3 linked regions of the Pelodiscus sinensis genome follow. The protein of the gene in region 1 interacts with the protein of each later gene in a pairwise test. Links are inferred from orthologs where the notes say so. Each region holds a gene or a part of one and is shown in the gene's direction. Other genes may lie near its edges. The genes, in order: RGS2, WDR74 and CTSB.

Region 1 (3,746 bases):
CTTAACACAGTGCAGAAGGTACCACATACATGCTTACATTTTAGCTAAAGGAAGAGGCATTCAGATAAATGAGTACATGCACTAGCACTAATATGCACAATTTATTGGCAAATGGCTGAGTTACGAAAATATATGGAAGCAAGGCTTGCTATGTATGTATGGCACTCATTCCTATGCTAGTGGAAGCTGAGACCTCTGGATCTTAATACCAGAGCCTGGCCCTCTACTGCGTGAACTAAAAATTCCAGGTTTGTGAGCCAAGGCTATAGCAGGCTCATCAAGCTGTAGTTGGCCTTGACGCTACTAGTGGGGGACAGAGTGCCACAGTATGCAGGCACGGCTTACACATATATGTTTTGTCATGCTTATGAGTATGAAAAAAATATTTCAAGTTATCACTGAGATAAAATCTCCCATGTATTGTACACTCCAACTTTTCACATCTTTCTTTTGTAAGGGTATCTGAACCAGGCCTTAGAACCCTTCTCTATTCTTTTAATAAGATGCAAACTCAAAAGAACTGGCTTCTTGGAAAGCAAAAACAGTTTTAGCATATGGGCTTGTTAAAAATGAATTTCTAATGTGTTGAACTGAACATAACGCTGTCACCTAACCTTCACTCAGTACTACAGAAAATTAGCCGCTACCTCTGCCAAGCCACTGGGATTCCATAAAGAACTTCCAGGCAGTATTAGCATGAGAACAAATACCAATTGTACAAACATTTCCAAGTGCAAAACTTTTTGCATCAGGGGTACAGTAATCTTTTAGTTCCAACTGAATAATGTTAGGAATACAGATGATTCAGCAGTGATCCTGGTATATCCTCTCCTTCCCAGACACAAACATAAGCTGATGAGAAATATGAGACATTGCTTATCTTAGTTAGCATTTTTTAAATCAATTGTAGAACAGTTGGGACAATTCCAGATTACTTGAAGATTCTGGAGAGTGCAATAACACATCTTATTTTGTTAGCATTATTATATTGTTAACATATTAATCCACAAATAGAAATTCAAGGTATATTTTCCTTTAGAAGGATAGGAGGTAAGGGTAAATTTTTAAAGAGCACAGCTAGGACCCTTAACGCTATTCCTATTGTTTTTCTTTCCATGTTGGATTATAAACCAACAAGTGATTCTGCACTTCTGCCTTCAAATGTGCAGGGCACTCAAGCTTTGTGAAGACACATGCAGCAGGCAACAAATAAAAAAAATTCTCCATCTTGCTGGAATCTGCAGCAACCAGACCAGGTTTTTTTGCAAGTGGAGACTGCATAAAACAGAAGAGAACACTGCGTCAGCACTGTACTCAGAGTAAGAGCCTTTTAAGGACGTGATATGGGAGTGTGCTTTGGTGTGCTTCCCACAAGCAAATCAGTGTGCTCAGGAGGCGTAACCGAAACCCAACCCTTTCCCCTACTGCCTTCTATAAAAAAAGGCTGCCTTTCTCTTCACGTTCAACTTCTCAGTGAAGAAAAGGGTGCTGCTGCAGATCAGCGATAGACCCTGGGATAAAACAGAAGAAGTATGCAAAGTGCAATCTTCCTTGCTCTTCAGCACAACTGTGGACAAATGGAGAGAACTCCCAGCAGCTGTCAAAATGAGGAGAAGAAAGGAAAGATGAAGAGAACTGTGTAAGTTTATGTATTTATAGCAGATTTAATTCATATAAATAGCTACCTGTGGCTTTCAGAACAGTGATTCAAAATAGGGAGCTTGCATCTCAGTAAGGAGAAAATGTTTACACTATTTGGTAAGAATCTGACAGCACTGACTTTTTAAAAATGACTTTGGGTGCAATACCTAAGCAGTGCAAGAATGGGTTGATTTATGTATTTGATGTCAGCTTGGATTTTTAAAATGGCAAAATATCTCCACTTCAAAAGCACTCATGAGAAAAAAAAATCCTGTTTTTGTTGAACTGATCATTTGATAAAAAATATAACTGTCATCGTCAGTTCAGAAAAAATGTAGGGTTTGTGCAGAAATGGTTTATTTCAGTTTATGCTTGTGTGGTGAAAATGTAAGCACATATTTCCCCCATTCATTATTTACCCAGCTAGCTGTGCAATTTTACATTTGATTGGTGTCTTTAAATGGTTCTGTCATTTGACTTTTAAAATTTAACTGAGTTTGCTTCTTGCCAAAGCAAAAACAGATCTTGAATATCTTACATTATTAGATCTATAATGAATATTCAGTTTGCATTGCCTGGATAAGACATGATATTTAAAATGTAAGGGATAAATTAGTCTTCAATTCCCAGTTTCACATAGAGGCTAATGGAGACAATTGTGCTGCAGTTCTTGTGGAGTTTAGTCTCACCTGATCCACATTCACCACATGGCCCTAAACTAGACTAGCTGCCGCACTGAAAAGACATTTTTAAATCTCGCAGATCCAGTTTTTGTCTCTTCCAAAAATCCAACAAGAAGAGATTAAATCTCCAAATGAAGAGGGTTAAATATCTGAGCACCAGAGGCCCCCATCCCAAGTTTTCAATCTGCTAAAACACCCACTGAGGACAGACCACAGGATTGGGCCTTAGGGGAAGAGCGTAGGTCCTTCGTCAGAGCAGCACACCTCTGATTGTGAAACTGTTACAGATGCCTTAGTTATAATTAGTCACTTTCCAGTGGCTGTGTGATCTCAAGTGCTCCATCAGTGCAGTGGGGAAACTACGGTTGTCTGAGACAGAAAGATTGAATCCCATGTTCTTGAAATAGAACTTAAAGAGTTGAGGGTTGATCCCACAATTAAGCAGGCACAACTACCATCAACTACAAGAGCAATTTTTCATTCTCTTTATGGATTACAGGCTCAGTTCCATCTCTAGTCAAAATGTGTAAAGCTGAAAGTATAATTTCAGTTAACTCTCATTTTAATGTATTTTCCTCTCTTCCTCTCTCCTCTAGCATTAAGGATTGGAAAACAAGGTTGAGCTACTTCCTGCAAAACTCTTCCACTTCTACAAAAACCAAGTCCAACAAAAAAGGAAAGCAACATTCTTACATCAGGTAAATTAAATATTCAGATTTCACTCAAATGAATTTCAAATATTTTAGCATTCAAGGGAGTAGAAAAATGTGCTGTTCAACAACCTAACTATACTCTCCATCCTTTTATATAGACCTTCTCCTGAAGAAGCCCAGCTTTGGTCAGAAGCTTTTGATGAACTTCTAGCTAATAAATGTAAGTCAGTCTGAAAAAAAAATAACAAATCACTGTAAAAATATAAAGGTGTTTTGGTCTTTGTGGGTTTTTGTAATAATAAACACTACCTCAGATAAGAACAAACAGTGGTTTTCCATCCGTATTATAAATTACCCTTTGAATAACCTCCTGCATTCACCTTGATATTGGTCTCCAACACTTCTATTTTAAACAACCCAAAATCCCACTTCCTAAAATCTTTATCAAAGATTTTTCTGCACTTAATAATTCTCTCCAAGACAAATCCTCCTTCTAGTGCTATTAAACATATTCACATTAAGCCACTGTGGACTTGAGGCTCTGTGGGTTTTATAGCCACTCTGCAAAGAAAACCACTTAATTGCTGATTAAGAAAAAAATATTAGCATTTGCTGATAATGAACTTTGAGTCACTCTTTCCATTGCAAATGTCTTCCAAAGGTTTATAGCTTTGTTGTAAATATTTACTCCAGTCTAAAGGTTAACATACTAGAATTCAGATCTGGAGAGAAACTGTATAATGAAGGGGGTTGGTTTTTGTCTTCTAAA
Region 2 (3,746 bases), on another chromosome or scaffold:
TTCAAGTGCTACATAGTTCTGTCTTGTGTTTCAAGTGAAATCAGGGTCCCCTTGTGTGTGGTGGTGCATAGATCCCAAGATTAGGGCCTCTCTCTGATTAGGCTTTGCAGAGACTGAATCCTCTGGGCAGATGTACAGCAAGAGCCAGTCCCTACCTTGATGAGGTTAGACTATAAACAGCCAACAAAACCAGTGACTTGTAATGGGCTCTTTCTGCTCTCTGTTTTCAAATTCTCAGCTGTGCCCATGACCAGGGTTCCTGATTGGGATGTGTCATTGCAACTTACTGCTCCTTGTCACTAAGCATCTTTCACGACTATTACTTTGAGCTGTGACTGTCATGTGAATGGGAGTTCCCCCAGCCCAACTCTGGCCTCAGCCCCTGGTCTGGTCCCTTACCATGATGATCCTCCTGCTGCTGTGGGGACAGAGATGGGGATCTCTCTCTAGTAGTGTTCCCTGTAAGCTAAGCACTTGGGCAGCTGCCCAGGAGAGATTCAGGTGCTGCCCAGCTGATTAACAGAGCACCCAGGGCTAACAGCATGTGTTTATATGGTGGTGCACCTCCATGCATGCCTTAGTGCACATAAAATTTATTCTGCAAACTGACACGAAAAAGTAGAGGGAATATGGCTCCCCACTGAGGGGAGGGGCGAAGAGCTCACAGCATCTGCTCTGGCAGCAGTCGAAATCTGTGGGGAGAGGGGAACGTTCCAAATGGGACTAGGGAAGGAAAGGGTTCGGTGTGACACGACGAACCGGAAGCGGCTTCGGCCTGACCTGACAGGCTAACCAACATCCGGCTTTTGGCGTGTCTCTGTAAGAGGGCCGGCCTCGCACCACTTCCGATCTTTTCTCGCCCACGCCGGCGCACCAGAACTGGCTGGAGGGTGCGAGCCGGAGCGGATAGAGCGAGGCACCGGGGCAAAATGGCGTCTCCTGCGCGGTGGAATCACGTGTGGGTCGGATCCGAGACCGGGATCCTGAAAGGTATCGGGGGGAGAGGGCGTGATGGGGCGGGAGCTTGTCCCGTCCCCGGCTGTGACCACGTCCCGTCTCTCTCCCAGGCGTCAATCTGCGGCGGAGACAGGCTACTAATTATGTGGCGGCTTCGGCGCTTAGCCGGGAAGAGGGAGTCTGCGCCATGTGCTGGGGGGACCCATCCGAGTCCGAGGTGAGGGGTTTGTGGCGGGGGGGGGGGGGGAGGAGCAGCAGCAGCAGCCCGGGGCGCCCCTGACACTTCTCCTTCTCATCCTCCTCTAGATTCTCATCGGCTGCCTGGACCGGTCGGTGAAGCTGTTCAGCACCGAGAAGGGGAAGTTCACAGAGTCGCGGCAATGTCTGGGCGGGGAAGGCGCCTTCTGCGGTCTGGCAGTGCACGACAAGTGGGTCTTGCACCATGAACCCAGCAGCTGCCCCCTTATTCCACTGTGTCTGTTTTCAGTTCCTTATCAGAACTGTGGGCCCATTTAACTCCAGATTGTATCCATCCCTTCCTGATATTGGTCCTATCTAAATCCAAATCTCTCACAATCCTCCCCTTCTGGGACTCAGTCTCTATCCCCCAGTCTCTCTTCCCTTTCTGCGGACCCACAGATATAACCTTGAATGTCATGCATCAATCTCTTGGAATAGGTTATTCACCTGCACTCTGCCACCCACAAAATAGATCCTGGAGCCCATTGACCCTCACATCACAATATGCATATACACATCTACCTTTGGGACAGACCAAAACGGACACATGTAGTCTGCTGTCATGTTTTACAGCAGCTGCTGTTGAAAGGCTCAATTAGAGATTTACTCTGCCCTGCTCCCACACAGGAATACATGCCTGTAAAAGGGAAAAAGCATTTCTTTAATTTTTTTTCACCAGGGAATTCAGTTTCCTTTGTGACACCAATTCACAGTTTGTCGGACCATCTGTCTAGCCCCCTAATTATAGCAATGAGTGTGGCCTGGGCCTATGTTGAAAATTGACAATGTTTTATTTCTTTCTGTCACTACTTGGATTTTCTCCCTCTCCCACCATCATTTGGCTGGTACCTGCAGTTCCTTCATCACCTGTGTGGAGTCTGGTCTCCTCAAGGTCTGGAGAGATGCCTCATCTGAAAATGTAAGACTTTTATGGGGAAAGATGCAGGGCAAGGGATGCTGGGTTGGTGGCAGTGGGTGCTGTGTTAGGGAGGAATCCGAGGTCGGATTAGCACCAACACTTGTTTCCTTGCACAGTAATCCAAGGGAGTCAAGATGTGTGGGGACAGTTCCTGATTGCACTTCCCTCTCGTCATAGGGCAGTGCAGCTCAGTCCTGCCAGGATCGCCACATTTGGAGTAATATAAATCCTTCCTCATTGCTACCCCGTTTAGGTAGAAACACAGGTTGGAGCTGGGGTGTGCCGTATGCGCCAAAACCCGGTTCACCCGCAGCGTGTGGGGACAGGTGGGAAGGAAAATGCCCTGAAGGTCTGGGACCTGCAGCGGCCGGAGGAACCCATCTTCCGTGCTAAAAATGTAAGTGTCTGCCTCAGATGTACACCCTACTTCCTTGTGCTCTAGCCATGCTTCCTCTGGCCTAGAGAGCCCCAACCATACCCAGGCTTGGCTGTTCCTGGGGAGACAGGTCTATATCCTGTTTCTTGAGGGAGAATCTGTTCTCACCCCTCCCCCATTGTTCCCCAGTCCTGAATCTGTGCCCTACAGTACACTTTATCTCTCCATCCTTCCCAAATCTGGTAAGATTTGCATTTCATCTCCCGCCCTTGCTCATAGCCCAGCGCCTTCTTGGGACATTTGAGAGCAAGTCAAATATAGGCATTGTGGTTCCACTTACACCCAACTTGCCCTCTTTGCAGGTGCGGAATGACTGGCTCAGTCTCCGGGTTCCTGTCTGGGAGCGTGACCTGCAGTTTCTACCTGGCTCTGAGAAGATTGTCACCTGCACTGGGCATCACCAGGTAGGAGCCTGATGGTTGTATTGGGGTGCAATGGAGGGAGTGGGGTGTGCAGAAGGGAGGATTAGAGTCTGGAGGAGTCTATCGGTAGGGGAATTTGGGTCTGTGGAGGAACTTGGGAGGTGATGAGTTTGTGAACTGGGTTGGGGTGGGAAAGGGATCAGGGTCTGGGGAGCAGGCAGTGGGAGAGGTGAGCAGACTGGTGTATGAGAGGGACTGGAAAGCGGGGGACCTGAAATGATGGGGAAATGAAGGTGCAGGATGATGGTTGGGAAAAGAAATAGGTATGGGGTTGTGGAGCAGGGGGATGGAAGGATGTGGGATTGGGGTCTGGAGGAGTTAGGGGGGCTGGGCAGATGGGGCGGGATGATTGGGGGAATGGAAGGAAGAGAATTGGAGCAATCAGAATTGGGGTGTGGATGGGGGGTCATGGCATGAGGTGCAGAAGGTGGGGGAGCAGGGAGGGGAGGCAGATTAGTTCGAGGGGCAGAAATTGGAGGGGCAGGGGTACTGGAAGGAGGGATATTCAGGTGATGGGAAGGTTTGTAACCTGATAGCTAATAACCTCTGGTGCCCCCGGCTCACCTGATTGGGCAGGGGTGGGCAATAATTTTTGCCCCAAGGGCCACTTCAAAAAATTTTGAAATAGCCCCGGGCCACCCTGGAAGGGGTGGGGCCTAAATGAGAAGGGATGGGACTACCTCACTTCCAGACCATGATTGGTCTGGGGGTGGGGGAGCCCCTTTGCCTCCCCTTCCCACTAGGCACCCATGCCCTGGAAGAGGCTTGGCAC
Region 3 (3,746 bases), on another chromosome or scaffold:
GCTTATGAGGATGGCAGCTTAAAGTGCTGTTTAATCCAGCCCACGGAGTCCAAAGGCACATGAGGGTGCAGTGTGGCATTGCTGTGAAACCCAGCCAGCTGAGTCCAGGGACATATGAGGGGGTCAGCTTGTGAGTGCTGAGTACCCAGTCCTCTCAGACGTGCTCTGACTAGTGTGTGTGAGTGTCTGTGTGTGTTGCCAAGGTGGGAAGAACCCCGTCCTGAGGAACCTAGTTCCTGCAGGAGAGCTCCAGTGGGAGGGGGAATTGGCAGCAGGGAGAATTCAGCTCCATATGAGAGCCCAAGTAAGCACCAACAGCACACTGATAGAACTGTTAACCTTCCCCCAGTCCCATAAGGGTATCCCTGATAAATGAGCATACCCCAGAGTATTGGGCAAATCTGATAACAGGAAGGAGGTGCTGGAGTTAGGGTTGAAAGGGCCACAGAGCAGGGGTTGGGGCCAACAGGGCACCATCCAGGAGTTCAGGGGGCCAAGGGAGGTGGGCTGCCCGTAGGAGCCAGAGCCAGTGGAGGGTACCAATGGGGCTAGGGTACAGGGGCATCGCTGCACCCCCAGGAGTCAGGGCACCAACATCCGAGCGTACCGGGGGCGAGTTGCCGAAGGCCGGCCCAACACTGCGCGATGTGGCAACGCCCCAGGCGACCCACCGCATCAGTGACTGTCAGATGCCCGGCTGTGCTCGGGACTGTCTCAGGGCATGCAAGCCGGGGCCGGCTCTGGCCTGGGGGGCAGGCAGGGGAGATGGGCTGCGGTGGGGACCCAGGGCTGCAAGACTCAATGGGAACTTGCTCCTGGCCTGGGGCAAAGGCAAGGCGGGGGCCTGGGAAATGGGGTAACAGCGGGGGCACTGCATCAACCACAGCCAGGCCCGCTGCGGGGCTTGGAGAGGGGGCAGGTGGGGGGGGGGTAGCTGGGATGCACCATTGCAGGGCCTAGAGGGGGGGTAGTGGGGGGTGCAGGGACACACCATTGCGGGGCCCCGGGGGGGGTGCAGGGACGCACCATTGCGGGGCCCCGGGGGGGGGGGTGCAGGGACGCACCATTGCGGAGTCTGGGGGGGTGCAGGGACGCACCATTGCGGGGCCCCGGGGGGGGGGGTGCAGGGACGCACCATTGCGGGGCCCCGGGGGGGGGTGCAGGGACGCACCATTGCGGGGCCCCGGGGGGGGGGGGTGCAGGGACGCACCATTGCGGGGCCCTGGGGGGGTACAGGGACGCATCATTGCGGAGTCTGGGGGGGTGCAGGGACGCACCATTGCGGAGTCTGGGGGGGTGCAGGGACGCACCATTGCGGGGCCCCGGGGGGGGGTGCAGGGACGCACCATTGCGGGGCCCTGGGGGGGTACAGGGACGCACCATTGCGGGGCCCGCGGGGGGGTGCAGGGACACACCATTGCGGAGTCTGGGGGGGGTGCAGGGACGCACCATTGCGGGGCCCCGGGGGGGGGTGCAGGGATGCAGCCTTAGGGCAGCTGGCAGCTGACGCGCCCCGCAGAGCTCGGGCAGTGGCCGCCGTCATATGACTCGCGGGGGGGGGGGGGGGGGTACGGTCACATGACTCGGCGGGGGGGGGCAATCACATGACCGAGCCTGCTGCGGGGTCAGGCGCTGCTGCAGCGGGAGGAGTCGGGGCTGAGTCAGCGCCGGGCGGGGCGGCTCATAAGGAGCCGGGCGGCGGCGCGGGGCGGCGGAGCGAGGGGCTCGGATCGGGTGAGGGGCGGCCGGTCACCGGGGAGCTGGGGCAGAAGGGGGGGCTCTGGGGGGGGCGCTGGGGCAGAAGGGGGGGGCTCTGGGGGGGCCGAGCTGGGGCAGAAGGGGGGCCCTGGGGGGGCGCTGGGGCAGAAGGGGGGGTCCTGGGGGGGCCGAGCTGGGGCAGAAGGGGGGCCCTGGGGGGGCGCTGGGGCAGAAGGGGGGCTCTGGGGGGCGCTGGGGCAGAAGGGGGGCCCTGGGGGGGCGCTGGGGCAGAAGGGGGGGCTCTGGGGGGCGCTGGGGCAGAAGGGGGGCCCTGGGGGGGGCGCTGGGGCAGAAGGGGGGCCCTGGGGGGGGCGCTGGGGCAGAAGGGGGGCCCTGGGGGGGGGAGCTGGGGCAGAAGGGGGGCCCTGGGGGATCTGGGGCCGAGCGGGGGGCTGTGGGGTTCCTGGGCTGGCCGTGGGGGATGGGGTTGGGGGGGAGACCCAGTGGGGGAGGGGGCAGGAGAGAGCTGCTGGGGCGGGGGGGGGGGGGAGATGTTTGGAAGTGGCGGAGGGGTGGGGAAAACCCCTCTCCTGTCCCTCCCTCTCCCAGGTGGGAAAAGCCCAGAGCCTGGGGAAGTCGGCTCAGATTGTGCCCCCCCCCCCCCCTGCCAGGAAATGCGAGGGGGGGGGGGGTTGGCGCAGGCCTGGCCTCTCACCACCTCTTCCTTTTTCCAGCTGATCTGCGAATCCGGATCCCCGCCGGTGTCCAGGCAGTGTCTGCGGCGCTGGAGTCGCCCCTCTGCTCCGGAGCCTGCATAACCGCTTCCCGGCGCTGAGCTCAGAGGTACGGCCCAGCCTGTGTTGTGGTTACGGGAGGCGACTTTCTCACAGCAGGCTTGATGGGTGGCTGGGGACGTGCCGCACAAAGTCATTCCCCTCGCGAGTTCGGTGTTGGCCTGTGGCAGGGTTTTCCGGGGGTTTTTAGGAGCAGCTCTCGGCCAAAAAGCAATTCTGTGTCCTGCCAGCGAACTGCAGCCTCATGGGCTTGTAGAACTGAAATTCTGGATATAGGAGTCAAATTCTTATCTCTGCTGGGCACGTCTGGGGTGACCTTGGGCCTGTCCCTTTGAGCCTGCTTCTCGGAGTTACCGAGTAGCTGCAGTGCTCTTCTAGGGGATCCAGCATCTCAGCCCACCTCCTCACAGGAATTTTGGCTCCAAATTTGCATTAATTTCAATGGGAGTGTGACATCTAAAAACCTTGCAGGGGAGGGGGACCTTGGCCACATCCCGAGCTTGCAGGGACACCGTGTGATGTGTGTTATGAATTCTGATTCTGGAGGGACCAGCGCCATGTGACTAGGTTGTGGATGGGCAGGGAGTAAGTTCGGATGCCTCCTAAATTTGCAAACTGGGCAGCCCAAGGAAGAGGAAATGTAGGGAGCGGAATTTATGGGTTTTTTTTTTTTAATTCGGTGGCCTTCAGTTAGATTCCTCTGTTTTGAGTGTTGTTTTCTGGCAGCAAGATGGTGGAAAGATCAATAAACTAAACCCAAAACTGCAGCAGCAGAAACTTCCAGAGTGAAACTCCAGCAATGAATCCCCCCCCTCTAGTGTGGCTTCTGAAAATCTTACCCTGTAAAAAGGAACATTTGGTATTAGTAAAAAAATCATAAGAGCTGTACCTGATTGTTTTTGCTGAGGTTGATACTGGCCGAGCGCCTTGCTTATAAATGCAACCCGCTCCTTTTGGTGCTCACACGCGAAGCTGTCCTTTTGGAAGGAACCTGAGGAGAGTGGTTCCCATGGTAGCTGAACCTGCTTCTGCCGGGCGGGGCTCTGCTAGCCTCGCCCAGGAGGGTGCTGCTTCCAAACCAAAGTCCCCTCTTGTGTGTGGTCACTTGACCTTCTGCTCCTTGTCCCGTATCCAAATCTAGCAGCCTGACCGAACTGCCCGTCTCCCCCGTTGCTAAATATCAGTGCTGCTTGTAAAGCAGGGTGGAAGTCCACTTTCCAGTCTGGTGCAGTAAAACCCGGTTCCAATTTGGAG

Evidence for each region.
Region 2: the proteins of RGS2 (region 1) and WDR74 interact in a two-hybrid assay, tested with the Homo sapiens proteins (2 studies listed by BioGRID and IntAct). The link is inferred for Pelodiscus sinensis from reciprocal best matches to the Homo sapiens genes RGS2 and WDR74.
Region 3: the proteins of RGS2 (region 1) and CTSB interact in a two-hybrid assay, tested with the Homo sapiens proteins (2 studies listed by BioGRID and IntAct). The link is inferred for Pelodiscus sinensis from reciprocal best matches to the Homo sapiens genes RGS2 and CTSB.

What each region holds. Positions count from the first base shown.
Region 1 is NC_134719.1:50,075,198-50,078,943, reverse strand, and holds the start of RGS2 (regulator of G-protein signaling 2), read left to right. Parts: upstream 1-1,423; 5' UTR 1,424-1,532; coding exon 1,533-1,639; intron 1,640-2,920; coding exon 2,921-3,022; intron 3,023-3,135; coding exon 3,136-3,197; intron 3,198-3,746. UniProt on the Homo sapiens protein: Regulates G protein-coupled receptor signaling cascades. Inhibits signal transduction by increasing the GTPase activity of G protein alpha subunits, thereby driving them into their inactive GDP-bound form.
Region 2 is NC_134721.1:36,469,473-36,473,218, reverse strand, and holds the start of WDR74 (WD repeat-containing protein 74), read left to right. Parts: upstream 1-831; 5' UTR 832-929; coding exon 930-990; intron 991-1,067; coding exon 1,068-1,174; intron 1,175-1,263; coding exon 1,264-1,385; intron 1,386-2,052; coding exon 2,053-2,116; intron 2,117-2,369; coding exon 2,370-2,513; intron 2,514-2,854; coding exon 2,855-2,956; intron 2,957-3,746. UniProt on the Homo sapiens protein: Regulatory protein of the MTREX-exosome complex involved in the synthesis of the 60S ribosomal subunit. Participates in an early cleavage of the pre-rRNA processing pathway in cooperation with NVL.
Region 3 is NC_134713.1:2,338,987-2,342,732, forward strand, and holds the start of CTSB (cathepsin B), read left to right. Parts: upstream 1-1,581; 5' UTR 1,582-1,734; intron 1,735-2,432; 5' UTR 2,433-2,541; intron 2,542-3,746. UniProt on the Homo sapiens protein: Thiol protease which is believed to participate in intracellular degradation and turnover of proteins. Cleaves matrix extracellular phosphoglycoprotein MEPE. Involved in the solubilization of cross-linked TG/thyroglobulin in the thyroid follicle lumen.